Linked DNA regions of Struthio camelus. The protein of the gene in region 4 purifies or fractionates together with the protein of the main gene of each other region. This does not show direct contact. Links are inferred from orthologs where the notes say so. Each region holds a gene or a part of one and is shown on either strand. Other genes may lie near its edges.

Evidence for each region.
Region 1: the proteins of AP3M1 (region 4) and AP3B2 purify together in Homo sapiens (co-immunoprecipitation; 3 studies listed by BioGRID and IntAct, counting the BioPlex papers as one, with this or other methods). This does not show direct contact. The link is inferred for Struthio camelus from reciprocal best matches to the Homo sapiens genes AP3M1 and AP3B2.
Region 2: the proteins of AP3M1 (region 4) and RABL6 purify together in Homo sapiens (co-immunoprecipitation; 3 studies listed by BioGRID and IntAct, counting the BioPlex papers as one, with this or other methods). This does not show direct contact. The link is inferred for Struthio camelus from reciprocal best matches to the Homo sapiens genes AP3M1 and RABL6.
Region 3: the proteins of AP3M1 (region 4) and AP3S2 purify together in Homo sapiens (co-immunoprecipitation; 3 studies listed by BioGRID and IntAct, counting the BioPlex papers as one, with this or other methods). This does not show direct contact. The link is inferred for Struthio camelus from reciprocal best matches to the Homo sapiens genes AP3M1 and AP3S2.

What each region holds. Positions count from the first base shown.
Region 1 is NC_090953.1:25,247,729-25,255,385, reverse strand, and holds the start of AP3B2 (AP-3 complex subunit beta-2), read right to left. Parts: upstream 3,013-7,657; 5' UTR 2,985-3,012; coding exon 2,755-2,984; intron 1,740-2,754; coding exon 1,664-1,739; intron 1,573-1,663; coding exon 1,498-1,572; intron 1,192-1,497; coding exon 1,096-1,191; intron 916-1,095; coding exon 755-915; intron 497-754; coding exon 430-496; intron 329-429; coding exon 146-328; intron 1-145.
Region 2 is NC_090961.1:13,366,845-13,373,806, reverse strand, and holds the start of RABL6 (rab-like protein 6), read right to left. Parts: upstream 3,007-6,962; 5' UTR 2,531-3,006; coding exon 2,401-2,530; intron 673-2,400; exon of another isoform or gene 1-672. Other genes in the region: protein AMBP, read right to left, coding at 4,779-4,810, 6,254-6,430, 6,850-6,962. UniProt on the Homo sapiens protein: May enhance cellular proliferation. May reduce growth inhibitory activity of CDKN2A.
Region 3 is NC_090953.1:675,401-683,293, reverse strand, and holds the start of AP3S2 (AP-3 complex subunit sigma-2), read right to left. Parts: upstream 3,019-7,893; 5' UTR 2,898-3,018; coding exon 2,829-2,897; intron 2,289-2,828; coding exon 2,197-2,288; intron 2,079-2,196; coding exon 1,967-2,078; intron 1-1,966. UniProt on the Homo sapiens protein: Part of the AP-3 complex, an adaptor-related complex which is not clathrin-associated. The complex is associated with the Golgi region as well as more peripheral structures.
Region 4 is NC_090948.1:25,427,958-25,434,799, forward strand, and holds the start of AP3M1 (AP-3 complex subunit mu-1), read right to left. Parts: upstream 3,012-6,842; 5' UTR 2,875-3,011; coding exon 2,872-2,874; intron 1-2,871. UniProt on the Homo sapiens protein: Part of the AP-3 complex, an adaptor-related complex which is not clathrin-associated. The complex is associated with the Golgi region as well as more peripheral structures.

The DNA.
Region 1 (7,657 bases), on a different chromosome or scaffold from region 4:
TGCCTGGACCTGGACATGGGATGATGGAGCACTGCCTGCTCTGGGGGCTGTCTGGGGACCCCTGAGACTCCTCCAGCGGCAGGTGCTGGGCCCCAGGTGCTGGAGGGGCTCTGGCACGGCTGCGGCACCGGGCGGCTGCACTCACGTTCTGGTTGGGGCTGAGGAACTGGGTGCGTGCGTAGCGTGTCAGCATGTTGATGATCACCACTTGGCCCCACTCCTCCACATCGATGAGCAGGTTGCAGAGCTTGCGGTAGTTCTTGTGGATGAGGTCGATGCGCTCAGGACAGACCTCCTCGAATGCCATCACCACACTGCCAGCCACCAGCTGGAGACATAAGGCTTGAGGGTAGCTGGAGCACTGGGCACTCACTGGGGAGGGCAGCATCCCTGCGTTTTGGAGCAGGGGAGATGGGGCTACCCACTCACCGTGGTCTTGTCTGCCAGCAGCTTCTCGATCACTTCGATGAGCTGGTCCTTCTGGTCTGAGTCCAGGCTGTGAGGGGAGAGCAGGGTCGGCATGGACAGGAGCACGTCACAGCTGAGCCAGTCCCATGGGGCTGGCGCTGCCTCGAACTACCCCATTCCCCAGCCGTCTGCCCGCCAATGCCAAGCAGGCAGGACCCCAGCACTGTTACCCCAATGTTGCAATATAACTGCAGGAAGAGGTACAAATCTTTAAACGAGTTCTCCTTGTCCTCAGCATCACCACGCCACCCCATGGGGCCCCAGTCGGCCCACAGCCCCCCATTACCTGTACAGTTTGGGGATGGCGTGGGCGGCCGTCTTGCGCACATATGGGGACATGTCCGATGCCGCCTCCTTGATGGCCAGCATCATTATGGGCACGATGATGGGCACGCGGATGCTGGAGAGGACCCGCAGGGCACTGGCACGGATCAGCTGGTTGGGATCCTGCAGCAGACATGCACAGCACTGCAGTGAGTCGGGATGGGCTCTTGGGCCCCACCAGAACCCTCCGGGATGGGGCTTTTGCCAGGGGAAGGATATAGCTGGAAGTCCCCCGGGGCTGCCCAACCCCACTGCAGCCTCCTGGCCCCAATTTTGCCCCCCAAAAGGAGTCAGATCGCCTACCTTGAGTCCTCGCTGGAAGGTGGAGATGGAGAGCAGGGCCAGGTCCTGCTGCTCCTCAGCGTAGCGCACCAGGTACACATACACCAGCTTCTTCACCTGTGGGCCGCGTGGCAAAGGGTGGCCAAGGTGGCAGACATCCCGCGGCACAGGGCCTCCCCCAAGGATTACACCAGGACAGCTGCCACACCAGGACAGCTGCCATCACCTGGTGCCTCCATCCCACCCAAATTCAGGCCACGCTAGCCCTCCCCAAAGCCTTCCTAATGCCAAAGAGCATCCCTCCAGGGACCACTCCAGACCTGAGGACATCGCTGGGTGTCAGCCCCTTGCTCTCCCCGCAGCGGGGTCACCCGGCAGTTTCTTGCCACGGGCCATGCATGCAGCGGCTGAGATCTGCCTCACCTCGATATTCTTGCAGGCCACATTTTTGACGACGGCTGGGAAGAGATCGGAGGCATTCTTCCCACGGGCGATCATCTAGGGAGGAAGGAACAGCGTGACACCAGGCACGCAGCCTGAGCGAGCCCACAGCATGGAGTCGCCAAGCCCGTGCCACGGCAAAACTCACCGCCACAATCCTCTTCATGGCCTCCAGTTTGAGCGAGTCCTTGTTGCTATCCAGCATCTCCTTGAGGTCATCATGCCTGTGGAGCACCCCATGCACTGAGGAGCTGGCTCTTGTCCCTGGCAGCCCTGGCTGTCACCCAGTGCCCACCTTGGAGGGTCCCCATGTGCGTGCTGGGCACCCCACAGCCTCCAGCACCCGCTGCCAGCACTTGCCAAAGGGTAGCAGAGTGACCCTTGGGTGCTCAGATCGAGGAGAACCTCAGCTGTGGGACAGCTTCCCCCTCAGGCATGTGGAAACGCAGGAAGGAGAGTCCTGTTTTCCATTTTATTCCCTCTTCCAACCTGCTCCCAGCCTGGCTCAGGGTTTCCCTGGAGGCAGAGGGCACTAGCTTGGCTTTACCCCCTTCCCATGGTCAGGCTGGGGCAGGAGAGGTGCCTGCGCCAGGCTGGGAACCCAACCCACAGCTGCTCGTGAAATATTTATCTGGGCAGGAATTCAGTTACAGGCACATGGAAAAGGACGCCGCGGCCCTGGGAGCGTTGCTGGGGCGACTCGCATGGGCTGAGGTTGTCACTCGGGGCACTGTCAGCTCCTTGTCACCAACATCTCTTTTTATAAGGCTGGCTGGCACAGCTGTCCCCGCGGTCCCCGAGCTGACCTGGCGACATGGCACCGCTAGGCTTGCAAGGCTACATCCAACTGCAATGGCCCCTTCCCAAATTGGCCGGTGGGGATGGGAGCTTTCCCAAAACAGCACCGATTTGCACCAAAAGCACCTGAGCATTTGGAGAAACAGTGAGCTGAACGCTCTCCGTCAGTCCTCGCCATCCACGAGCGCACACCGGTCGCTAAACGAAGCGTTACGTCCTAAAACACTCAACCGTCCCCGAAACCCCGGCCGCCGGGGGTTGTACCCGCCTGGAGCCAGCGGCACCAGGGCTCCCTGGCAGGACGACGCTCGGCACGAGCCCCCGCCGCCACCATCCCGCAGAGCCTCGCGGGCACGGCGCCCGGCCCGCGCTCCCGCGTGCCTCCCTCCCGGGGCTCATCTCTCTCGCAGTCGCCCGGCGGGCGCTCGCGGGGGCCCTTACCGCAGCGGCTGCGGCTGCCCGGCGCTGGCGCCGCTCTCCGCCGCGGGGCCCTTGAGCAGCTGCAGCTCGTCGGCTCGCAGGGCACTGTAGCAGGCCTGCTGCCCTCCGTCGGCGGCCAGCACGGGGCTCCTCGCCTCCTCGGCCGCGGCGCCCACCGCCGCTCTCCCCAGGCCGCCCGCGCTGGCCGGCAGCTGCTGCAGCAGCTTCTGCATCGGCGCCATCGACAGCATCACCTTCGGTCGGGGCAGCCGGCGGGCGCAGCTCCCTCCGACGCACCTCCGAGCCGCCCGTTGGCCCCGCGCCGGTGGCGCCGTGGCCCCGCTGCCGGCCCGCTGGGCTCTCTGGCATGCCGCGGGCCCCGCTCCTCCTCCCGGCTGCGCCCGCCTGCAACCTGATGCTGCGGCGCCGGGCGGCCCCTCTCGTGCCAGCCGCGAGGGCGGCCGCGATGGCCCCGGCCAACGGCGCGTCGCCCGGCAGGGCCAGGGTTTCGGCTCATCTCGGGCTGCAGTGGGGGAAGGCGCTCGGTGGGGACTCGCTGGAGAGGCCTCAGCGCTGGCGGCTGCCCCGCTCCCGGGCCGTCGCCGGGGCCTGGCACTGTGCAAAGGTCCTCCTGCCCCAGGGTCCCCCCCGTCACCCTGAGCCCGAGGTGACACCCAGGGCCCCGTCCTGCATCCAGGGACAAGGCTGCTGCCTCGCCAGGTGGGACGGTGCCGCAGGGAGCTGCTTCCGTGGGCATTTCGAGTGGCTTCGTGGGGGCACAGAGCCCCCAGCCCGCGGCCGTGGTCTCCCTCAGCCACCGCCAGCCCTAGCTGGGCACCTCAGTCACCAGCCCATAAGAGGGGACGAGCGGGTGGTGGAGGATGTGGGGCACCACGGAGGCCCTGACATCCCCGAGAGGATGCCGGGACGGACGAGGAGCCCGGGGCAGCCCGAGACCTTCCCCGCGTGCCGGCCGAGGCGCCGCACTGAAGAGCTGGGGCACCCCTGGGCCCCGCCAGCGGCCCTGAGCCCCCACCTCCCGGAGACGGGCCGGGTGTCATCCAGCTGTGAAGGGACAGGAGGACACAGGTGGACACGCCATCCCTGGACAGAAAGCACAGCACCATCTAGTGACTACGCGCCTTGTTATGGCCACATCCAGGAGTGCTAATTAGTCCAGCCAGAGCTGCCCCATGGCACTGGCTGCAGGGTCCCCCGGCTGCACCCCAGCCGTCGCTCCTGGGCGCCGGGGTGGCGCATGGGCCCTTTCCCTGCTCCCTGCCCCGTGCCTCGTCCCGGCCGGGCTCCGGCACCACCCGCGAACCCGGCAGGGTGTCCCCCTCCGGTGCGTGTTGCGAGGCCTGGCTGGGCACCCCCGTCCCGGTGGGGACGCGGTGGGCAGGACCCACAGCCGCCCCCCCACCCACGGCAGGTCCAGCAGCATCTCCGGCCCGAGGCTGCCACCACGGGCGTGAGCAGGGCTGGGGGGATGCTGCCGGCCTCCCTGCGCTGCCCGCTGCAGAAGGGCTCCGGGGAAGGCAGCACCCGGGGGACGGGGACACCGTTGGTGGGCGCAGGGCTGGGGGATGCCGCTGGTGGGGGCAGGGTTGGGGGACACCACCGCTGGGCGCAGGGCTGGGGGATGCCACTGGCAGGTATAGTGCTGGGAGGACACTGCTGGTGGGTGTGGGGTTGGGGATGCTGCTGGTGGGTGCAGGGCTGGGGGACACTGCAGGCGGGTGCAGGGTCAGGGGATGCCACGAGCAGGTACAGGGCTGGGGGACACTGCTGGTGGGTGGGTGCAGGGCTGGGGGGACACCGTGGGTGGGTGCAAGGCTGGGGGACGCCACCAGCAGGTGCAGGGCTGGGGGGACACCGCTGGTGGGTATAGGGCTGGGGGACACTGCTGGGGGGGTGCAGGATGGGGGGACACCACCAGTGGGTGCAGGGCTGGGGGGACACCACCAGTGGGTGCAAGGCTGGGGGACACCACTGGCAGGTGCAGGGCTGGGGGACACCACGAGTGGGTGCAAGGCTGGGGGACACCACTGGCAGGTGCAAGGCTGGGGGACACCACTGGTGGGTATAGGGCTGGGGGGACACCACCAGTGGGTGCAGGGCTGGGGGACACCACTGGCAGGTGCAGGGCTGGGGGACACCACCGGCGGGTGCAGGGCTGGGGGACACCACCAGCGGGTGCAAGGCTGGGGGACACCACTGGTGGGTGCAAGGCTGGGGGACACCACTGGTGGGTGCAGGGCTGGGGGACACCACCAGCGGGTGCAGGGCTGGGGGGACACCACCGGCGGGTGCAGGGCTGGGGGACACCACTGGCAGGTGCAGGGCTGGGGGACACCACCGGCGGGTGCAGGGCTGGGGGACACCACTGGCAGGTGCAAGGCTGGGGGACACCACTGGTGGGTGCAGGGCTGGGGGACACCACCAGCGGGTGCAGGGCTGGGGGGACACCACCGGCGGGTGCAGGGCTGGGGGACACCACTGGCAGGTGCAAGGCTGGGGGACACCACTGGTGGGTGCAGGGCTGGGGGACACCACCAGCAGGTGCAAGGCTGGGGGGACACCACTGGTGGGTGCAGGGTCGGGGGACACCACCAGCGGGTGCAGGGCTGGGGGACACCACTGGCAGGTGCAGGGCTGGGGGACACCACCAGCGGGTGCAGGGCTGGGGGACACCACTGGTGGGTGCAGGGTCGGGGGACACCACCAGCGGGTGCAGGGCTGGGGGACACCACTGGCAGGTGCAGGGCTGGGGGACACCACCAGCGGGTGCAGGGCTGGGGGACACCACTGGTGGGTGCAGGGTCGGGGGACACCACCAGCGGGTGCAGGGCTGGGGGACACCACTGGCAGGTGCAGGGCTGGGGGACACCACTGGTGGGTGCAGGGTCGGGGGACACCACTGGCAGGTGCAGGGCTGGGGGACACCACCGGTGGGTGCAGGGCTGGGGGACACCACCAGCGGGTGCAGGGCTGGGGGACACCACTGGTGGGTGCAGGGCTGGGGGACACCACTGGCGGGTGCAGGGCTGGGGGGATGCACGGGCAGCCCTGCGTCCCCCGCGATGCTCCCGCTCCCGTCCTGGAGGGCTGCTCGGCGCAGGGGCGCCCACCACCGTCCCTTGGGTGCACCCGCCCGGCGCAGCCCGCCTCGGAAGAAGCCGCTGCTCCCAACCCGCCCCAAAACCCGGTGCCTTTGCCCCAAACGCCCCTCGGCCCCTCGCTGGCCTTCGCCCCCAGCGGAGGGGGAAGCGCAGCCGAGGCGGCGGCGGGGGCCTGCGTGGGCCACGGCCTGCCGCGCTGGGCCGGCGACCGCCGCCGCCCTTAGCATCCCTCCGTCCTACCTCTTGTAGTCGGAGGAGAAGATGCCGCCGCTGGCCGGGTCGTGGCCGTACTCGGGCTCGCCCAGGCTGGAGGAGCCGCCTTTCTCCTCGCTGTAGGCCGGGCCGGCGGCCATGGCGGCGGCCTGCGGCGCCGGAGCGGGATGCGCGGCGGCGGCGGCGGCGCGGGATGCGGCGGGTTGGGATGCCGGGATGCGGCTGATGTCAGGATCATGTGGAGCCGCCGCCGCCGCCGCCGCCGCCGCTGCCGCCCCTTAAAGGCGCAGGGGCTGCCGTGTCCCCCCCCGGGGCCACCCCCGTCCCCGCGTCCCCGGCCGGGCCGGGCCCTCGCCCTCCGCCACCCCTCCAGCGCCGGCGCTGGGTCCTCGCGACCTCTTCAAACCCTCCCAACGGGCAGAAAACCGCCTTGGCGGGTGCCGAGCAGAGGGACGGCGCCCGCAGGCATCTCCCCGGGGCCGGCTCCGCCGGGAAGGCCGGCCGGGATGGGGAACCGGCGGCAGACCCCAGGCGGAAAAATAGAGCGAAGCGTGGCGGTTAACGCTGCTTCTTCTGCGGGAAGCCCCGGGTGTTTCCCCAAGCGAATTTCCCCTCCGCGTCTCTTCAGAGGAAGCGGGCTCGGGCCGAGCCTGCGATTGCGAGCTGCTGGCTGAAGGCCCGGCCCCACGGCCACGGCCGGCGCCCGCGGCGGCGCGCGAGGCCGGCCGGGGCTGCCAGCCCGCCGAGGTGGGCTCGGAGAAGCAAAAGCGGCGCGCCGTCGGTTTTGCCACGCGGTTTCTTCCAACGTCTTCGGGGGCGAGATGTGGGGTTGGGGGGGAGACACCCGCTCACACCGCCCGGCAGCTCCCCTGCCAGACGAGGCGCCCGTGAGCCGGCGTCGGAGCCGGGGCCGCCCCGCGCCCGCGGCCCGGCGCGCTCACCTCCCCGCCGTCCTCTCTGCAGTCGGCCGAGGGCAATTCGACCTGCCGGGGAAAGGCAGCCGTCAGCCTTGGGCGGGGGGCCGGGGGATGCCGCCGTTCGGCAGGCCGCGGCCCGCGCGGGCGCCCTGGCGGGATGGTTGCCGCCCCGGCAGCGGAGCGGCCACTTGCCCCCTCTGCTCACCAGGCTCAGGTAGAAATGCACCAAGTCCAGGAGGTAGAGAGCAAAATGAATGCAGTTGTTGGTGACGAAAGAATATTTGGCTTCAGCGTTCATCGCGCCCCGAACTTTATTTTTGAAACTGCTGAGGTCGAATCCGTCCTTTTTCCTGTAGATTTCGCATTTCCCCCTCTCTCTCCTCATGGCGTGGTAACCCTCCTTGCTGATTCGTCCGTGGCCTCTCCGAACGCTCGTGTCTGGAAAGGGAAATTGCAGCCACAGCCGCGCGCCGCCTCCTTGGCCGGCAGCGGCCCCGGCCAAGGCCGAACCCCCGCAGGAAGCAGGGCTCCAGCAGCCAGCCAAGAGGAAGATGGTGGCCTTCCTGCACGGCCCCAGACCGCCCGGCCTCCCTGCACGGCCCCAGACCGCCCGGCCTCCCTGCACGGCCCCGGACCGCCAGGCCTCCCTGCACGGCCCCAGACCGCCAGGCC
Region 2 (6,962 bases), on a different chromosome or scaffold from region 4:
GTCTTCATTTTCACCTCAAATAGGCGTTTGTTTGGTTATGAAATATACTTGATAGCCGTGAAGGCTGGCACAGCATTGCCTGTTCTGAACTGCACAGCAAGCCGGCATCACGAGCCAGGCGATAAGGCCCACATCCTGTCCATTTGCTGCCCGCTTTATCGGTAAGAAATCCGAGGCAATCTCGGCATACTACAAATACTTCTGGTAAGGAAACACGCTTCAGTTCATGACAGTAAAGGAAACATTTCTGTAAAACCAGTCATTGCGGCACCCTTTAATTTAGATCTATGCAGTTGCAGGAAAAAGAAAGAGTTCTAAAGATCTGTGTGTATTAAAGATGACTACAAAAAACATTTTGCACTCCCCTGTTGAATGTCACACTGAATTTCATGTATTTGCTAAAAAAAGGTGCATTGACGATAACACAGGATTTGCAGCTCTGCCCTTCCCTTAGCAATGGCACTTGTATATGACATTCCTTCAAAATGCTGGAACCCATCCTATTTATCAACTGCCATGGCTATGTAGGGTACTTCAAAACTCTTCAGCAGACTGCCTGTATCTCCTATAAATATTATATAATAGCATCACTGGGAAGAGTTACTATGGAGATTGGAAAGCTTCCCTTAGGGCAGTGACAGAAAGCTGTAGTTTTATTATAGATATAAAAGCAGTAATTAGAACACAAATTCTGTCAAGACAGGGCACAAAACAAAAAGCTTTCCAGAGGCTTTCTGTAACGAGACAAAAAGCAACCCAAGCTACCGTTTGTAGCTTAGCTGTTTGCATTTTTGGCCCTGCTGTATTACTAATAAGAAGGTATACATACACACAGGTCACTCAACCATGCAGTTAGTCAACACACAAAGATTTATCCCCTTCTATTTTTGCGCCAGCAAGATGCAGTTGATCTTTATTGTACGTAGCACAAACATTCACCTCCACAAAAATCAACTTTCAAATTATGTAAGAAAAAGGAGTTGACATTAGCTACCTGATCTTAAACACTTAACAGTAAGCACATGAATGCACTCTGGTCTGTAGGCTCCACAAAGCCTCTGCAGAGATCAACAGTCTTTAACTAGCGATTTTCCAGGTATACGGTTGACAATGCAGCACTATATGCCAAGGTATAATAGCTTCATCCTCATACCTAATCTTTCATTAGGGATCAAGTCTCTTAACAGAAACGGTGTGTTTCTGTTCATATTCACGACTGCTTGCTAAGACCCTACTTTCTAAATTAAGTACTATTCTTAGCATATTCCACAGATGTGATCTGGATAAATGCACCAAATGTTCTCCCTACTAGAGTAGAGAGCTTCAAAAACACATCAATTCAAAAGCAGTCTATCATGATAACACTAAAAAACCCTCCCCAAACTCTGAAGGGCTAAGTTCTCCCTTCCTGTACAGTTTCAGATTACGATATAGCATAATCTCTATTCCCCCAACATGTGTGTGTTTAGAGAAACTATTCTGTAGCATGTTTACAAATCAGTCTTAATCCAAACTGCTCATTTCTCAGTCTTCTGCAATTCGACTTCACTGCCTGCACAGACCCATACAGACAAGCTAATAACACAAGAGCACTGCAAGCAGCATGTCTATTTTCAGCAAGGATTACATATATATCCTCCTCCTTATCACAATTGTTACTTTGGGATGTATTTCACATACTTGCAGTGCCTTCCTGAAACATATTAGAAATAACCTTTACTGAGCTTCAAGGGAAAAAGGCAACCTTGCACCTCAATACTGAAAGGAAAATAATTCTGAAAGTGTTCTATGAAAAAAGAGCAAATGTATAAGTTACAGAAAGAGATAATCATAATGAAATTATGTATCAAGGTAGTTAAAGGGGCCCATCACTCACCTTTTATTAAAGCCTAACAAGGCAGAGTTTTTCAAAAGTCCCTGACCATATAACCATTAGAGCTTAATTGTAAATAGCCTTATCCAGAGCTGTAGAGAAGGTCACCCACACACTTGGGGGAATAATGCTCCTGATGCTTCAACTGGCTAAAACTGATTTACAAGAAATTCTCTCTTGTATCACAGTCAGCGGAAGGCATGCAGGCATTCAGGACATCTCCTGCTGACTGGGGACACTGCTGCACCACAGGTTCCTAAGTCTGGCACAAAAACTTAAAGTTCACCATCCCTTACTCTGCCCACGTTTCTGCATGCTCTAACACTTAATTGCATACTTGGCTTTCAACTACTGGCAAAAGCACCACCCCGCAAGACAAACAGCATATGCATTTTACAATTCCACAGGGGCCCCCGGAAACAGGCCCCCCCGGGCACCGGCTGGGACCCACCGCTGAGGTTTGCTTCCCACCCGGGGCTTGTTCTGTCCCCCGCCAGTGACTCCCCAGGAGCTGGGCTCCGACTCACTGTTATACTGGACTCCCTTGGCAAACCTCCTCTGCAGAGCCTGGTTCATGGACTGCAGCCCTGCAGGGATATTCTTGTCTCTGACCGGAGTCTGGTCCGAGCCCACGAGCTTCTTCAGGGCCGAGAACATCTTCCTGGTCCCCCACCTTCGCCACCACCGGCGTTTCAGACACCTCCAGGGAACGGGCCGCGGCTCCGGGGCTCAGGGGCAAGACGGCGCCGGGGGGGGCATAGGAAAGGTCACGGCTTGGCAGGGCCACGGGCAAGTCAGGGCTGGGGCAGGGCCGGCGGGGCCATGAGGGGCGTCCGGGGCGCGGCAGGGCGCAGGTCTGCGGGCTCGAGCCGCCGGCGGGGCGACGCGGCGGGGAAGGGGGCTCAGCTGGGGCCCCGCCGCGTGCCTGGGGGAAGGGGCGCTAGCCGGGCATGGCCCGCGGCTGGGGCGGCGCAGGGTGGCGGGGAGAAGCTCCTGCGAGTGGCGGTAGGGCCGGTGCGGCGGCTCAGCCCCGCCGGGCCCCGCCGCTCGGGGCCGGGCGCCGAGAGAGGAGGCGGCGCGGGGCTCCCGCCGCCACCGCCATCTTGCCTCTTCCGCTTCGCCGCGGAGGGGCCGGGAGGCGGTAGCGCCGGCTACGGAGGCCCGCGCGGGCCAGCAGAGCCGGGGAGGCGGAGCGCGCCCGGCCGGGGGCGCTGCCCGCCGGGCGGCCGCGGGGGTGCCGGTGCTCGCCGCCGTCGGGGCGGCCCCGGACCCTGCGGGCTGAACCGCACATCGGCTGTGGGGCTCCTCCGAGGGCCCCCCCCCCCCCCGCGGATCCCTCAGGGCCCCTGCGACCGGCCGGATCTGCCGTGATCCCCCAACGGCCTCCAGTGACCCCCCGTAGCCCCCAGTGACTCCCTATAATCCCCTCTGTGACCCCGAAGGATCCCGCCCTGGCTCCCCATAGCCACTATAAGCCCTCCTGTGACCCTGTGATCCCCATGACCCCCTGTAACCCCTCATAGCCCCTGTGACCCCCCAGGGCCCCCCTGTGACCTCCCATAACCCCCCCATAACCCCCTCTTGTGCCCCCCTCAGGGCCCCCCATGGCACCCCCTAACTCCCCTTAATGCTCTCCTATGACCCCCTCCAGGACCCCCGATGACACCCCCATAACTGCCCATAAAACCCATGACCCCCTGCGATTCCCATCATCTCCCTGTGATCCCTTACTGTGGCCCCCCCAACCCCCTGCTGACCTCCCGCCCCGCTCCCCGTCCCCACCCTCCTGCAGGGCCCAGGATGGGGCAGGGGAGATGCCTCGTCATGGCCTGGGGGGTACTGGAGGGGGCCGTGATGTGGGGGGACACGGCAGGATCGGAGGGTAAAAGGGGACAGCAGCCCCCACCGGGGCGCTCGACTTTGTGAGCACCCTAGGGCCCGGAGCTTCCCTATGTGCGTGCCCCGGGTCCTTGGGACCTGGTCTCGAGGGTGCAGCCCCCAATAAGGACCCAGGGCCCTGGGTGTAGGGCAGAGGTACCGATGTCCCGATGACATGGCTTGGGGACTTCGCCCAATGCTGACCTGGGACTGAACATCACTAAGATCAGCACCCCGAGCGAGGAGGCTGGCAGCGAGTGCTGGCACTGCCCTGGGCTTGCAAGGATCCCCTGGGCAAAGGGGCACCTTGGGTACCGCCTGCAGTTCCCATGAGATCATAACCTGCCCAGGACCTGGGGCAGCATGGAGCAGGGCGCCCTGGGGAGGAGCAGGATAGCCTGGCTCCAGCTAGTTCCCTTGCTGTGCTCCTGGCTGGCGGCATGCTCCCTGCATCTGTCCTCCGGGATGCTCGCCAGCATCCTGCTGGCAGGAGTGAGACTGAGGGAGAAACAGTGCCAGCTGCGGGGGGCTTGCAGTCCCGCTGGGCCCTTCCTGCTGCTGCTGCTGTGCTGCCATATGAACTATTTGCCTGTAGGGAGGTGCCCGCTGCCCCCTTCCCAGCTGCCTGTCATCAGCCCCTGGGAGACGGGGGGGCTGAAGCCCATCCAGCAGGAAGCCCTGAGCCCCCTCCGGCACACGTTGGCTACCCCAGCACCGAGAAAGGGGCAGGAGGCAGAGGCTCAGTGCGGGTCAGCCAGCAGCCCTGACAGGATGGGGGTACCCAGTAGGGGAAGTCAATGAGGATTCAACAGCATCACCTAGACCCTCCTGGAACTCCCACCCCCACCCCTCCCTGCACCTCTGCAGGTTCCGGATGGACACGCTGGGCTCATTAGTCACGTTAGAGACATTTACTGCTTGGCCAGGGCCGTGGCTGTGCAGGCGACGCACCAGGGCTGCTCCCAGCGCCTTCCTGCGTGGCCAGGGCTCCTGCGCTGGGTGCAGGCAGCTCGTCCTCTGCCCCGCATCAGTTCGACAAATGCAGAAACTCCTCTTCCTCTGCAAGAAGAGAAGTGCATGGTGTGACAGCCAGACCTGTGGACCCCATGGTGTGCTGCTCACTTTGTCCCTGCCATCAGGGATGGTTGGGAAGCAGTAGGGACCTTCCATGCACCCCCTTGCACTTGAGGGTGTTGGGCTCCTGGCCCCCATCGATGCTCATGCAGCCCCTGCAGTGGGGCACAGTGGCCCTGAGGCAGTGCCTGACACAGAGGGGAGCAGCCCCACATGGGAGCTCAGCTCAGAGGTGTGCTGCAGCCTTCCGAGCTCCAGGATACTTGGCATACTGGGAGCAGGTTCAGCTGGGGTTGGCCATGATCAGACATCCCTGTGGTCACCCCTCTCTGCACTAAGATTTCCGCTGCTACACTCAGGAAAATTTGACTGCTCCTCCATCTGTCCTGAGCACCGAACAGTGTCTGTTACCATGGGCTCTGGAGGACTGTGTCTCCTCAGGTGGACACAGGCGGATGGGTTTGAGGTGCGAAGGGGCCATGTATGCTGACACTGAGGCAGGGCAGCCACTGGGTGCATGGGCTGGGCTGGGCTTGGTGGGGCAAGGGGATGCATTAACATCCCCCAGCAGGAGCAACCGTCCTGATAGATTCCCGTTCTGGAAATCCCCCAGTGATGGAGACTCCATGTCTGCCCTGGCCTTGCTCCCCAGCACTTCACTCTACCACTTCTCAGAAGGCTCTGACATGGAAGTCCCTGTACCAACTAGAGCAGAAGGGTCCAGCGAGCATCGCATGGAGGGTAAACCCCAAACTGAGACCCCAGTTTGGTGCTCATTTGTTGTGAGGTTCTCCAACCCTGCCAAATCTTTCAGCTGCTCTTCTCTCCCTGTGCTATGCTGGGTATCCCCTGCAAAGAGGCTGTTGCTTCAGTGCTCCCTGCTGCACTGAAGCCTGCTCAGAACCCTTTCATCAAGATATTTTGAAGTCCAAACCTGGTCTCAGCAACTCTGCAGCCTCTATAATCCCCCTACTTGATACTGTCTGCAGAAAAATGATTGTATTCCTCAGTCCATCAGAGTCTCAGACCCGGGATGGACTCATCCCAGATGCAGTACAAACCCATCCCATACCCATCCTGGACTGAGGACAGACCAATCCTAGACCCAGGACAGATCCATCCCAGATCCATTCCAGACTCAGGACAAACCCATTCTGTATTCAGGATAGACCTGTTCCAGATGCATCCCAGGCCCAGGATAGACCCATCCCAGACCCAGGACCTGTCCCAGACCCAGAATGGACCCATCCCAGACCCTGGATTGATCTGTCCCACACCCAGGCAGACCCAGCACACCCAGACCCAGAGGAGAGCATGACCAGAGGTGCTGCAAGCAGGTCCCCCCGGCTGCTGCCCTGGTTTCCTGCAAGCATGACAGCGGTGGTATGGAAGGGAGAGATGGTGCCGTGTGGGCAGGTTGGCCCATACCTCCCAGCGGGGGAGCTCCACAGTACTCCTTGCACTCCTTCTCCGAGTAGAACTGGTTCCCGTTGCCCTTGCAGCCTCCGTAGTTAAAAGTGATGCACTTGCCCTGGGCTGCGTCGAATGCCCAGCGTATCACCAGCTTCTGGCAGGGACCCTGGACGATGGGCAGCCTGCAGGCAGCTGCAGGGACACAGGGCAGCTCTGAGGGCAGGCCAGGTCCCAGGGGCTCAGGCCCAGGGTGCTGTGCTGACCCCAGGTGCACACCAGTACCTCCCACACAGATGTTGGGCAAGACCATTCTCAGATGCCCCCAATTCCCTCTGCTGCCTCTGCAAAGGCACTTCCTGCACCTTCTCTCCATGATGCCCTCAGCCCACCAGGATGTCCCTGGTGGGACGCTTTGACCTTGCTTGAGCAGGGAGGTTGGACTAGATGATCTCCAGAGGTCCCTTCCAACCTCAACCATTCTGTGATTCTGTGATTCTATCCTCCACACTCTCCTTCCCCATCTCCCTCTAGGCTGGCTTTGCTCCCCCGAGCCCCAAGCCCTGAGCTCTTGCGGCTGGCCAGGGAGCGTGCTGCCAGACTATCCCGCTCACCCTCTGTCCTGCAGGCCTGCAGGCACTCCTTCTCTGAGTAGAAGTTGTTGCCATTGCCCAGGCAGCCGCCATAGAGGAAGGTTTCACAGGCCATGGAGGATGAATTGTAGAAG
Region 3 (7,893 bases), on a different chromosome or scaffold from region 4:
TGCACAGAGCAGGCTGAGGGGGTTAGGCAGAGCTGCGAGCAGGATACGCGCAGCGAGCAGCCAAACAAGGAGGCCTCTTTCCGCACAGGCACTGCCCAATAGTGCTGGGACGACCAGACACGCTCTTAGTGCCAGCCCGCACTAAACCACAGAAACCAAATCAAAAAGCCCACATCAGCTCCAGACCCTAGGAGAAAGTTTGTCTTGGCAAGAGGCATGTGGCTGGAACATAAGCCTGGCCCTGGCTGAGCCTGCTGTGAACGGACTGCACAGCTGGTGTAATACCAGCAAACTCGGAGGGCTCCTCCTCCAGCAGTGGGTCACGCTTCCTCTGAACTGTTACTTCTACCCAGTTGCTATTGTCTTCAGTTGTTCCTGGTACTACCCAGGGCAACCGGAACCTCCAATTTCAAGGATGTGGTTTGAACCCAAGTCCAAAGAGCCTGGCACAGGGTAAAGCACACTGAAACACGGAACTTGGCCGTTCTGGGGGAAAAAAACAGGTGCCAACGTTCTGATAAACTGCAGTCACAGGGCCCTGACTGGGACAATGGCTAGTCATTGTGTTCTTCCACAAGGGCCAGGCTTGCAGTCATCTAGAACAGCTTGAAAGGGTTGAAATATGGGAACTACATGATCACAGCAGGTGATCCGAGCAGGGCATGAGCCCTCTTGGAATCAGGAAGGACAACTGAGAGATGTTGGATATGTTACAGTAGGACACATGAACAGGACAAGCGTGAAACGCTCTACAGTTGGGAACTCTTCTCCACAGACAATTCCCAGCTGGGAAAACTTCATTTCTAGCTTAGGATCTTTGAAAAAAAAAAAAAAGCTAGAAAAGGTGATTTAAATGGTAACTGCCATGGAGCTACTTTCCAGAGTTTGATAAGAGTGTGGAAGATGACTCCAAAAGGAAAAGCCTGCTCCAATGGGACAAAATATTAACTCTGTCACGTGCTGGTGTGGCTTCAAACTTAAAAGGGAAGAAAGAGGAACTTGTAAAAAAAAAAAAAAAAAAAAAATCAGAGACTGATCTGCAGAGGAATACTCTCAAAACTCATCAAAAGTAACCAAAGGCATAATTCTAACATTAACTAAACTGCATTAAACTGCTATGCAGACACTCTCACATGTGCCTTTAATTGGATTTAGCAGAGGTCCCTTTAGAAGCCCACATAGTGATTGAATAAAATTTTTAAAAATTCACTTTTTAATAAGTTTATTCAGACTTTCCCCAGCGTTTCCCTGCAGACAAGTTTTGAGTTATGTATCAGCTAACACATGTCAAGCAACACCCTCCCCTGTCTGAGCTCACAAGAGAACAGTTTCTCAATCACTCCCAGGAAGCTGTTATAGACATGTAAATGCATCTGGAAGGTTTAGAAGGCTGGACCTTCTGGCAGTAGAGGAAAGCACCCAACAGCCTCTCATGGCTAAGCACTTTGTCAGAGCTCCTGGTACTACTAAGGTGGAGCACGCAGAGGGCACAGGATACCTCACATCAGTGGCATACTGCTGATGCAAGGCTCTCCAGGGGCTCTCGCTTCTAATACCTTCCCTTTTAACATTGACATCCCCTCCAGACTCCTGGATTCAGGGATGTCTCCTGCACTGTCCACAACTGCACCCAGCAGGGGCTCAGCAAGGGCCCTGGCAAGGGACACGCTCTTGAAACATGATGTCTAGCCCCTTTCACACTCATTTCAACCAGCCTGGAAGGGAGGGTCTGTAACAGGATATGCAGGAGGGACTCACAACCTACACTGTCCTGCTGCTGGCAGAGCAAGCGTCTGCATCTCAGCACATCCAGCTGCTCTGGGGAGTGTCTCCGCCCAGCAGCGGCCAAAAGCTCAAGGGCAGAGAAGAAACAGCAACCCGCTGTCCTGGTGCGGGGTGGGCTCCACTGTGTGCATGCTCACTGTGGCCTCCCTCTGGCAGCAAACTTCACTCCAGAGAGACCAACCTGGATGAGGTCCAGAATGCCCAGCTCGCTCTCCGAGGAGTCCACACAGAAGACGAAGTACAGCGTAGCATAGTGGCGGTAGATCAGCTTGTAATCCGAGCCACCAAACAGGCTGCAGAGACACAAGGAAGGGCTCCAGCAGCAGGAGGGAGGACACAGCCCGGCTCCTCCCAGCCAAGGGGAACCTGCGGCACAGCTGCCCTCCAGGCAGCGAGGGGCGTGAGGGTTACCTGCCACACTCCAGGAAGTTGCAGATGTGGTCATCCCGCTTGAGGACCAGGTGGAAAGTCTCTCGGATAATTTGCTGCTGAACTTCCTCTGCCTGCAGCGAGGCAAGAGCAAAGACCCATGGGCCTGCCGTCTGGGAAGGCACAGAGCACCCACACCCCTGCTCTCCCCCACTGCTGTGGGGCCAGCAGAGCCTGAGGGACACGGTGAGCTGGCAGCTCTCGGAGCGAAGGGGAGGCCACAGCTCCCTGCAGCCCTGGCACCACGGGAGCAGCCGCTAGGGCAGCCCCCATGACCTGACTGTGGGACATCCTGAGGGATTGGGTTGGGGCGCTGGGCTGAAGCGGTGCCTGCAGCCGAGCGTGGGCAAGACCCCTCAGCCCCACGGACACGCAGCGATCGCCCCAGCCACGGGCACCCTTCCCGGGGCCACGGCAAGCCCTGCACTGGGCCCAGCCGGGGGGCGACTGCAGCCCGCACCCCCTCAGACCCGAACTAGGCCAGCCCCGCCAGCCCCACATCGAGCATGCCTCCCCCTCACACCCCACGTTGGGCCCGTCCCCCCCCCCCAACCCGGACCGGCTCCACACGGGCCCGGTCCCGGTCCCCCAGCCCCGCCGCGGCCGGCCCGCACCAGGCGCTGGTAGAAGCGGACGAGCCGCGGCTTCCCGTGGTTGTTGAACACCAGGATAGCGCTGATCATGCCGGCGGCGGAGGGGCCGGGGCCGGGGCTGGGGCCGGAGCCGGGTCCGAGGCCGGGCCGGAAGCAGAACCGGGCCGCCCCCGCGGAAGCCCCTCGCCCGCCCCGGAAAGGCGGCGCGACCTCGGGGCGGTGCCGGGGCCCGGCCGCCCGCCCCGGGTGCCCAGCTCCGCCTCCCCGCCAGCCCCGGCGCTCTGGGCCCCGCTCGGGGCCGGGCAGCGAGGCCAGCCCCGCGCCAGGGGCTCCGTGGCGGCCCGGGCCCGGCCCCCCCGGGACCGCAGGCCGCGGCAGGCCGCCGTCGGGGCTGCGGGAACCGGGCCCTGCCTCGCTACCCCGGGGCAGAGCCCCGCCGCGGCGGCCGGCGGCCCCCCGGTCCGGTCCGGTGCGGTCCGGTCCTCGCGGCGAGGCCCGGGAGCGCCGCGGCCGGTTCGCCCTCCGCCCCCCTCCCCCGGAAGAAGCAGCCGGGGCGCCGCCGCCCCGTCGCGGCAAGGCCAGGCCCCCCGCGGGCCCGGCCCGGCCCCGCTCCCGTCGCCTGTCGCGACAGAGCCCCGACAGGCAGCGTCGCGATGGCGGCACCCGCCTGCGCCGCTAGGGGGCGCGCGAGCGCCGCGGCGACGGGAGCCGCGCGGGGCCACGCCGCGGCGGGCAGCGGGGCGCGCGGGGGCGGGGCCTCCCGGCCAGGCCACGCCCTCCCTGAAAGGGCCAGCGGGCGGGGTCAGGGGTCACCGGGGAGGTCAGGGGTCACGGCGGGACGGCGGCCGAGGCGGCGGCGGCGGCCTGGTCGCGGTGTTCCGGCGCGACGCCCTGCCCCGGGCCGGGAGGCCTTCCCGCCCCGCGGCGGCGGTGGGCTCGCCTCCCGCGCAGGCTCCGAGGCCGCCTTCGTCGCCCCCGCTCTGCCGGGGCCGCAGCGTGGTCTGGGCCGCCTCCGCCGGTCGGAGGGCAGCGGCAGACAGCCCGGCGCGGGGCTGTCGTGGCCCTCCCTGCCCCTCCGGCGGCGGGCGACGGCTCTGCCCTCCTCCGCGAGGCTGAGCCCGCTGTCCCGGCCCGCCGGCGAGCAGCAGCCCTTACCCAGACCGGGGGACTGGGCCCGGCGCAGCCGGGAGCGACGCCCCGGTCGAGGTGGAGGAAGGAGCACAGGGCTCTGCCCCCTCCCTCGCCGCAGCCGCCGCTCCCCCAGCCTGCAGCTGGGCTGAGATTGTTTCGGGGATAAACGGATCGGAGCTGCTGCGGGCCGGCAGGGGGAGGGGAGCCCATTGTCGGGAAGAATGCGATTCTGCGGGCGCCAAGCCGCTCGTTCTGGGCAGCCTTTGTGCGCGGCTCGCCCCGCTGAGGGGTGGATGCTGCGCGCTTACAATGCGCTTTCATCGGCGGAGACAGGCGCAGCGCTGGCGTCGGGCCTCCCCGCCTGAGGCCCCCGGCGCGGCACACGGAGCCAGGCAGCGCCCCAGCTCCCAGCGCCCGCCCCGGGCACGGCCGCAGCGCCGCATTTCAACCAGAGCTCCGAAACAACAGGTGAATTTACGAGGGAAGCGTGGTGGTGTTTGCGAGCCTGGGGGAGCCAACGTGCACCGCCATCACCCCTGCGCAGACTGCCGCCCTGCCCGGGGCCTGGGCACCGCCAGAACGCCCGGGTGTCTCGCGGCAAGGGCTGGATTTTGCTCCCGGCCTGCTGTGGCTGCACGGACTGGGAGCTGGCGCTTTGCGTCCTGACCCAACAGGTCCAGCTGACCTACCGCACGGACTGCTGAGCGCTCCTGCCACCCGGCGCTGCTGGTGCCCCACAGCTCTGCCCTTCAGGGAACACCTTTTTATGGGAGGACACCTCAGCTGCCAGCAGTTTTCTGTACTGAGCTCACTCCCCAGGGAAAGGTCCCGGGATCCGTCAGCCCCGGTTGCCATAGTGTCCCACGGGGTGGTCCCCTCTGACCCTGGATGCTTTTCAGTGCCTGCTTTCCCGGACACCGCCCCCTCCGCTGCATGTGTGGCCTGTGCTCCGCCCCAGATCAATGCTTCTCCACTGTATCTCATCCTTCTGCTTACATTGGAGCGCCTTTGAATGGGCTGAGCGAGCCGGGCTGCTCTGCGGGACGACTGCTATTTATCATGCTGCCAGCCTTTGGATTATCCTCAAGCCATAGCAGTGAACGTTTCATATTTACTTCTAGATCATCAACCAAAACAGAGAAGGGGATCACACATAGAGCTAATCCCTGTGAGCCCCTCTAGAAACTCCACCACTGGATGGTGACCACCTGTTGACAAATATTTTTTAGCATCTGTGAATGAGCTCGTTCTTAGGCTGTTTTAAGAGGTATTTTGAAGAGGAAAGGGAGAAAGCGTAGCATATGACAATTGCAGTTGGATCCGGTGCTTTTTATGTACTAGAAAATCAAAAAGAAAGCAGCAAAGGGCAGATGATCCAAGATTAATATAAAGGAATAGCACAAGCATGTAGGGATAGAATCAAAAAGGCCAATGTATGATATGAGTTACAACTAGCAAGGGACATAAAAAGCAACAAGAAAAAGAATTCAATGTGCTGTACAAACGTAGTAGAAGACAGGGGGAGACAGAGGAGAATAAAGATCTGTTACTTAACAAGAAAAGGGAGTAAAATAACCAAGGACACATAGAAAGCCTCTTTGCTCCAGTCTTCATATGAAAAGGTTCATTGTCACCAGAGATTTAACAACTAATTTTAACAAAGGGAGAAGGCCAGCACGGAGAAGAGCCAGGTGAAAGGATATGGAGGTGCATTTGGTTTGGGTCAGGGTGGCCTGAGAAACCACCCAGAGCAGACAAGAAGTTAGCCAAGATCCTTGCGGAGCCATGAGGGCTCTGGTAGAAAGCTCCCAGAGGAGGAAAGGCCCAAAGGGCTGGAGAAGGGTGAGCACGAAACCCATTCTTAAAAAAGGCACAGGGAATCATCCCTGTGGACATGGTATCATCCTGGCTCCCAGCGTGAACTAGAACAAATCATTAAACAATCAATGCACATGCCCCAGAGGATGATACGGTGATAAAAGATAGTCGGTGTAGATTTTTCAAGAAGAAATCATGTCAACGCCAGCCTGACTTCCTGCTGTGGCAGGGTAACCGGCCTCGTGAATGAAGGGAGAGCAGTAAATACCATACATCTTGATCTCAGGGAGGCTTTTGACACTCTTCCACGTGATGTTCTCATAAGCAAACTAACAAATAGCACTGCAGACACAAAAACATCACATGATGGTTCGGCTGCACCCAAACAACTGGTTGACAAACTGCACCAAAGAATGGCGGCTGTGCGTCAGACGAGGTGGGCGCTTCCCACGGGTCTGTCCTGGGCTTGTTTCTAGTCCATATATTCATTAAGGACTTGAACGATGGAGTAGAGAACACACTTACAAAAACTGCAGATGACATCAAACTGGGAGGGGCCAGAGGCACTGGGGAGGACAAGCTCTGAATTCAAAAGGATCTCGACAAATTGAAGACATGGTCCAAAATCAACAAGACGAAGTACAATAAAGAGAAGTACAAAGAGCTAGTCTCAGGAAGGAGAAATCAGATACACAGACTGAAGAATAACACCACCAGCAAAAGCAGCGCTGCAAAGAGGATCACCACCTCTGCCTCAAGGAAGCCACTGCACAAGGCTGCTGCACGAAGGGCAAGTGCCGCCCTCGGCGTGTCGCACGCAAGGCGGGACGGTCACGAGCCCGCCGAGCATGCGTTGAGCCCAGCTGGAGTCTGTGCCCAGCGTGGGACACCGTGCTTCGTGGAGGAGGAGGCCAAATTAGAGAGTCCGGAAGTGAGCAAGGAGAATGACAAGAGGCCCCGAAACCCGGCTGTAAGGAAAGGTGAGAGGAAGGAGGTGCTTTAGTTCTCCACGCAAGCTGGCTGAAGGGAAACATGGCAGCTGTCTTCTGCTACATGCATGGCGCTACAAAGGCAGCACAGAAATCAGCTTAGATGGCAGCAATCTCAGCCGAGCGTCAGGGAATAATTTCAGCTGCTCTGGCCATGAAACGTCCCAGTTCGGCACCGGCGGGTGGCGAATGCACTGCACTAGATAAGACCCTATGGAAACGGTTCAGCTAGAGGCTGTTACCCGTGCCACGACGCGAGCCCCTGCGGGCGGGTGGGCGGGCGGGTGGGCTGCCCCGCCAGGCAGCGTGGGTGCGACCAGCCCGATGGTGGTGCCGCCCCCAGGCGCCCCACGCACGTCCTTGCCTCGGCCGTGAGCGTCAGTCCCCGCGGCCGCAGGCTCCTCCGCCGGCGTCCCCCAGCCCTCTTCACCTCCGTGCCAGCTGCTGGCCTCCCTCCGGGCTCGTCCCAGGGAACGTCCTCCAGCCCTCCGAGGACGAGAACAGGTAAAAACGCTCACTTCGCCCTCTCCGCGCCATTCAGAGGGCGTTTCACTGAGCGCCGCACCCCTCAGACCCTCCTCGCCGCCTCCTTTCGGCGAGACCCTCGTCATCCCTCTGCTTCACAGGCGCGCTCTCGCCTCCCCTCGCGGTAACGCCTCCCGCCCTTCTCTTGAGCGGCGCCTGTTCTTTGTGCTCTCTCCTCTATCCCGCTTTATGCCCTATTTTAAAGCGAAAAGCCTTACCTGGAGAGGTAGGTGGGTTCTAGACACACACAAAAGTTGAGATCGTTTGTGTGAAGCAAATTTACTTCAGCGGGATGTACGGACCTTTAACTTTTTGCAAATATTTGAACGGCAAACTCCACCTGCAACAAAGCTCATCCAGGAAGGATTACAAACACCAGCGCAAATGTCTCTTTATATGAATATTCACATTAGATGAGTTTGGTTTTTGAAAGTACTTTGAACTAGGCCAATCGGAAAGCAGAAATAACGTCATATGAGTTGCCTGACCAGCCCTCCCTTGCACAGTGGATATGTGAAGCAATGGTCACAAACATTTGCAGCTTAAACATATTGACCTGATCAGATTTCAAAAATACAAATACATTGAAAGAATACAAAAATATCAGAAATGAAAGCCTGTAT
Region 4 (6,842 bases):
TCACGTGCAGGACACAAACATGCTCACCTTCAGGGGGTCCTTGCCATCTCTTAAATACCTCCTGTAAAGAGCACAGTCTTTGCTGGTAGATGTACAAAGAGCAACAGTCAATACATGGATGGAGAAATCCTATCAAGCCAACACGGTGCATAAAAGGAGTTTAACTTGGAAACTGTAACTGTCAGTTTGCTTAGGAGTAGGAAAGGAAACAAATCTACAAACTAGTACTACTGCAAGTTTCCACTATACCTTTCATGGATCAAATTCATCTCTATCTTTGTTAAAAAAAGACAGACAACTTTTATACTGCGAGCACAGCATTCTTATAAAGGGACCTTAACACAATTGCTTTAATCCAGTTTAACCAAATGTGTTCCGAGTTTAGCCAGTGCTGAACATTAAACCCCTCCAAAATCTCCTGGATAGTCACACAACAGTGGCAAGTATAATCAACCACTGAATGTCAGTATTGTTCCACACCAAGGCAGCCCAAACATATGAAGGTGATCAGCTATAAAGCTCAGAATAGTTCTCTGTACATTTTAATATGGATACAATAGCATATCTGTTAAAGATAAAGCCCAGTTCCCAGTAAATGCACACAGAGCTGCATAGGAGAGTGTCAGTATTAGCAGCGCTAGTGCGGGCTGCACTGATAAGACTCCCATTTCCAGAAGACTTGATCTATAGACCGCGGTGAGGGAACAAGGCTGGACTGTGGGGCAGCTGTGGATGATACACTGGCAAATATACTTGGAAGTGTTACAGGCTACTTTTAGGCCCCAGCAGTTGTCCTGATGTTAAAGCTCATACAGATTCTATTGATCAGAAACCATTGCATTTGTTACTACACACTTGAACAAATACGGCAGTCCAGCATGCCACCATAATCGCTAACGAACTACAGTCATTTACTTATGCAGTGATCACAGCTGGCTCTGCTGGTAGATGAAATGACTGTGTTAGCATAGCCACTTTTTTTGCCAGAAATCCCACTTACAATATTAGACCATGACTTGATATGCAAGAGGAGGGCCTGGGCAGCCAGAAAGGGCAGCAGCACTTGACCACTGCCTCTATCTACTCATTTGTGTTCCTGCCCCAAGCAGCCCAGATGCTAGTTGTGTTCATCCGAGTGTTTGGGCTGCCATGTGGTAAACTGGAATAGCAAACTGATCCGGAGGACCACACTTGGCAGATCACGGCTTTACAGCACCTGTGGAACGCTGAGCAGCAGAAACCCACCTGACTGCCTACCACATCTTCTGCAATTTTTACACAAATTCCTATTATACGTTATTACTTTACTTCAAGCACAAGAATTCCCTTCAAAACCCCACACATTCCCCCTTTCCTCCTTCACAAGTTTCAGCAGCACGTTGCTAAGAAATGTGAGTTGAAGTGCTCCGGAAAAATGGCAGCTCTCTCTGCACAGACCAAGCACAGAGCAGGCAGTGCACACTCTGACAGCAACCGGCACAAGGCTGGTCCTACGGGTAACTGGGCAGCTCGGCTTGTTCGCTTCTCTCTGCCGCTGGTGACAACAGAGAAGCTCTAGTAGCGGTGGGAGGATCAATCTGTTAGGTGCAAGACCAAGTCATCTGATTTATCCCATACACTGCCAAACAATTGGCATCAGCCAATTAAAATGGATACTGATGATGGATATCTTATGTAAGCTAGTATTTAACAAAAATTACTTACAGGACTTCCAATACAGAAGATTTCCCAGCTAATCTATTTTTTGAGTGCCAGACTTCATTAAGACATTTAGACATCCCTGAATTCATGTCTCATTACCCTACCTTCTCCTTCTATCTCACAAGAGCTTTGGGGGAGGGGAGGGGGGGGGAGATTAAAAACAGTGCAAGACAAGAAATCAATCCAGTAACAGTACGATTCCTTATACCAATAGGTCAAATAAATGACACAAGTGGCCAGATAGCAAAGCAGGTTAAGAACTGGGACACTTTGAAGGTAAAGGTCTCGAATCAAATTTCTTAAGTTTAAAAAACAGTAGTGAAAGCACATGACCAAAATTTAAGAACTGTCAAACCTTTGCAGTACTGTACACAGAGACCACTTTGAGATGGCAGCATAAAAGCAATAGATGTAAAACACTAAAGGCGTATTTCTAGGAATATTTCAAAAGGACATATCTCCTCTATCTCTGCTTTTAGGCATATTCGAAAAAGCAGACTAAAGATGTGCATGGATTATTACTTTCATCTTTAGCCCAGAGCAAGCCATTCATGCTCATTTTTAACAGACTAGCAGCCTTCGATTGTGAGTGATCTCACAAAGCACTGCAGCACACGTAACCCAGCAGAGGTTCTGCAGTTTCTTTTCACAGATTTCCCATCCTTGCCAAGAGCTCTGACATATGAAATTCCACAGGCTTCTCTTTAGTCGCTTCTGTTCTACCAGAATTAGAAGAACTACAAGTTCTTAGCTAAGGTGTCTTCAGTATGCTGATTCCAATTCTTTATCTTTTCTTTTGATTAAATTTGGATATTGCAATTTCACTCTTTTCTCTGTCTCTTGGCAGAGAAACATCTGGACTAAAGTCACAGTAAGTTCACAAGATGAAGCAGTGCTCACTGGTAGAAAGGAAAGGCTGTGTTCATGGGAACAACACTGACAGCATATGCTTGTCCTCAGCTACAATTAGGTACTCTAAAATTTAATTAATGCGGAGATACTCTTGCCAGCTGCTTTTCCATAACACTGAGCTGAGTTACAGTCAAAGCTCTGCAAACCAGGAAGTAAGGAATTAATCACTGGCCTCTGCAACGCCCTTTACAGCTAGTAATAATCACTGAGACTGTCTCCGTATGGGATGGACTATAACAAGTAAAAGTCTGAACATACCATCACTTGCAAAGTATTCCAGAGCTTCTGTGTTCCTGGTATTTAGTGCAGCTGCCCTGAATGGTGGAAGGATTAGCGGGAGTGGATTGTCTGAGCCTCTGTTATATATTTGTGGAGATGAAGTTGTAGTGAAAAGCCCTTAACAGAACGGAAAGCAATCTAATGCTTAAAGTAAACTAGAGAAATGAATAAACCTAAATAGGTAGGTCTGTTTCTATTTTGAAGCTAGTATTTTTGTCACAACCAGAACGCCAGCAGTTCAGCTTGTTCTTATAAATTCAGGATTGACACATGACAAAACCAGACAACCTACATTTCCCACCTCCCCAACCCCATTCACCAGCTCTTAAAGCAGCAAACCTAATGAAGAAAAATCCTATCGATTACTTTAATGACATTTACAAGACAGCCAGCGTTTCAGCTCTGAACACACATATAACTAGTTGGGACTAACCGGGATACAGCATTAGTAGTTGTGATTCAGTATTCGTGATTCAAGATGATGCACCTGAAAGTCTCAGATCTCATCAATACGTGAGTGTTCTGCAACTACCATTTTTGCAGGGCTCCTCTCACTGTTGGCATATGTTACTGCTGCTACTCAAGTATCATCAGTCTTTTCACTTACAGGATACCACAGCTTAGGTGTCCATACTATTAGGGTGAAATATATTTGCAGTCATTCGTCTGAACTGCTTGGTGTCCTTCCCTGTTATTCAAGTGGAAGTCCCAGAATCAAAGCAATTCTAATCCAAGATCATCAAGTGCTTGTGTCTGTACAGTAACTGCTTAGATGCATATTTTATCAGCAGGGTCATCCCTGTTAAAAACTAACCAGTCTGCATCCCAGCTGCTCAGTATACATTTATCTATCTTCACTGTCATTTAAAACAGTGGTAATAGCTTTCTGGAATTCTTTCTGAAAGGAAGTAGTCCTTTAAGAATACTATGAAATTGTCTTAAATCAGTATTTAGTATCCATAACAACCTTTCCAACCACCTCCATGTTTTTTACTAATAACAAACACAGTCTGCCTAAGAATTTGCGCAGTATTCCATCTACTGAGAGACAGGCTTTCCAATAATATGTTTGCATGCTGCCTTTGTTCAATTTAGTTTCAGCATAAATCCTTTAATTGCTGGCAACTGCATATAGTTCCATCTCTTGCCAACACCAAAATATTAGATCCAGAACAACTGAACAGTATTAGATAATGAATAACTGGCATTCCCTTTGGGTTCTGCAAGAACTGAAAGCTTCACTGTAGAAGCTGAAAATCCAACGGAGTTGCTTAGAAAAAAAAAAAAAAAACCCTAAAAACTGATTGCTAAAACTACATTTTTTACATGAAGATGGAACAGCATCTCTAACACAAATTACATCAAAATCAGTTGATTTAGGACTATTAAGGGACCATTTAAGAAATTCATTCTCTGGAAATGCTACTGAATAAACAGATAGGGAGGACTAAATTGACATTGATAGGGTCAACGTCTTGTCACATTTCCTGTCAAAGGGATTTTCAGGAACAGACTGATAATTAGGCTCATATTCCAGTCAAACCAGAGAACTGTGACTGGCCAGGGCAGCAATATTCGATCACAGGAAACAAAAGCCTTGCCCTAGTAGCTCTTTGGGAAGATGTTTTCCATCATGCTGTCCCAATACACTGCTCCAGCAACTGTGACAGGCTGGAGAGATAGTGCCACCAGCTTTATACTGCTCTTTTTTCATACGCTCTATTTTAAGAGGCACTCTAGGTTCAAGAAAGGACATGCACAACGCCCAAAGGGCCACGCAGTACTGAAACACTACACCAGAGACAACCAGTATCACTGGAACCCTGCTGTCAATGACAGCTCTTACTAAGGTGTGTGCACTATGCCACAACTAGTTCAAAATCCAGATGGCAGAAAGAAGGCAAACTACCATTTTTTCCTTCCTTTCTCTTCCATGACAAGAGCACAGAGCTGCACTCCTTGATTTTACCATCTGAATGAATAAAATCAAGCTCCATAATAGTGAATGTTAAAGAGTTCCGCGCAGTTCCCTTTAAAAAGCAGCCTTTGATGCATGTTTGTTGAATAAACATTAAAAGGATTTCACTTGTTTTCTGTGTATTACTTAAGTTTTGAAAGCAATGTAGGAAATAAAATGAGTGAAAACAACAGGAGAATAAGAGGAAGAAATTCTACATTTTAAACAGGTTTAATCAGGTTTCTTCCTGTCATTACAGCTATGAAGTACAGCTGCCACTTGTCACCTGCTGTTCATGCTTCTCTACCTCAAGGACTTCAACTTCTTCTTCAGAAATAGAAATCTTATCATGAGAATTTAAGATTGCCTAAAGCAGAACTGCTTGTAAAGGGAGTTTTGTCTGAAGGAGTAAGCGGGATTTAAATGTGTCATAGTTATTTTGCACAACAGAAAACTTCATTTTTGGGCAAGGACAGCAAAATTAAGCACTAGAGAGTGTGCAAGGATCTTAATATTTAATTTGCCCTCTGTGAGGAATTTTCAGGCAAGTGCACAGGGACTGGAAGCAATCTACTTATTCCATTTTTTCCAAAACCAGATTTGTTTGTGCTTTGAGTTAGCAACCAACATATCACAGATTAAATTCTTGACCATTAGAATGGAATACCATTCATTTTTTTTTCTTTTATAATAAAAGAGAGGCTATGTACAATTCAAACCTCCTAGCAACAGCTGGCTGAACCTTTCTCATGGCTGATGTTGTCAGTCCCTTTGTAAAACACTGCTTCCATCATCATACCTCTTGCATGAGTAATTTGATTTGCTTGTGCTTTTCTTGCAAAATAGCTTTTCCTCACCCATAATGCAGTCTGCCTTCTATGAACATGAACGTTCATTATTTGTTATGATTTTTTGGCTTGGTCGTTTATACAACCGCTACACTTCATGGTGAACCGCTTATTTCTGTTAGATCCCCCTACATTGGGTACAAACCATTCAGCATACTGAAAAGACGGTAAGTGCATTGTTACTTCAAAACACATTAGCACCCCTGAAACAAAACAAAAGAAGCTGCAACCTCCAATTACCCTGTTACAAACTGAACAGGGCAGAAGTGATGTGGAGTACACAAGGAAGGATGATAATGGAGTGATTTCTAGCATACAGCACAGAAATGTATACTCACAAGGACCCTGGCTAATTAAGCAGGCATAGCACGAGCAGATCCACTGGGTCTGCAGCAATGATGCTAGAGTAAGATTTGGTGAGCTGGGTGCTACCCCTCCTGCAGCCCACCTGCCCCCATGTCTCTTTGCTGCAAATTTCTCATAGAGCCTTGAACAGCAGGTCCTGCCTCCTTTCTCCTGGGAGGATCTGCTTAAGCAGGCCCCGTACCAGAACAGACCCAGAGCCTGAGAAACTCGGACGCGTAGGGGAAGGAAGGAGGGAGGGAGTAGAGGGCAGTCAGTAGTCTGCTCAAACCAGTCAGCCCCAAGGGCAACGCATGCATCTCCTGCGCACCGGCCAGGGCTTGCCGTAGGGAGCACCCCAGCTTGGCTGAGATCTCCTGGTCTCTAGCAGCTGCTCTCTACTACCTCAGTTGCACTGCGACTAACTCATTTATATTTCCAAGCATAAACTAATGTTCGGGGAAAAAGTATTAACAACAATGTACTGTTTTCGTCTTTTTAAAGCGGATTCGGAGAAAGCCAAGGAGTTGTACAGACACAAGAAAGGCACTAAGGTAACAAATCTGGGGGTGGGAACACATCCGCTAACTTACTCTCCAGGGGAGCCACAGCTAACTTTACAGAAGGGTAACTGCTGAGGTAAAGCTCTTGCCCGCGTGGAGTATTTGATCTGTCCCCTTCTCCTGTAAAAAGGAAATTAAGACCTCCCTGTGCATAATCCTCCTTCTCATTAGCACTTCTCGTTTCAGAGGACCATCTACATAAACTGTTTCAGTTGGACACGTGCACAGAGCGAGCTACAA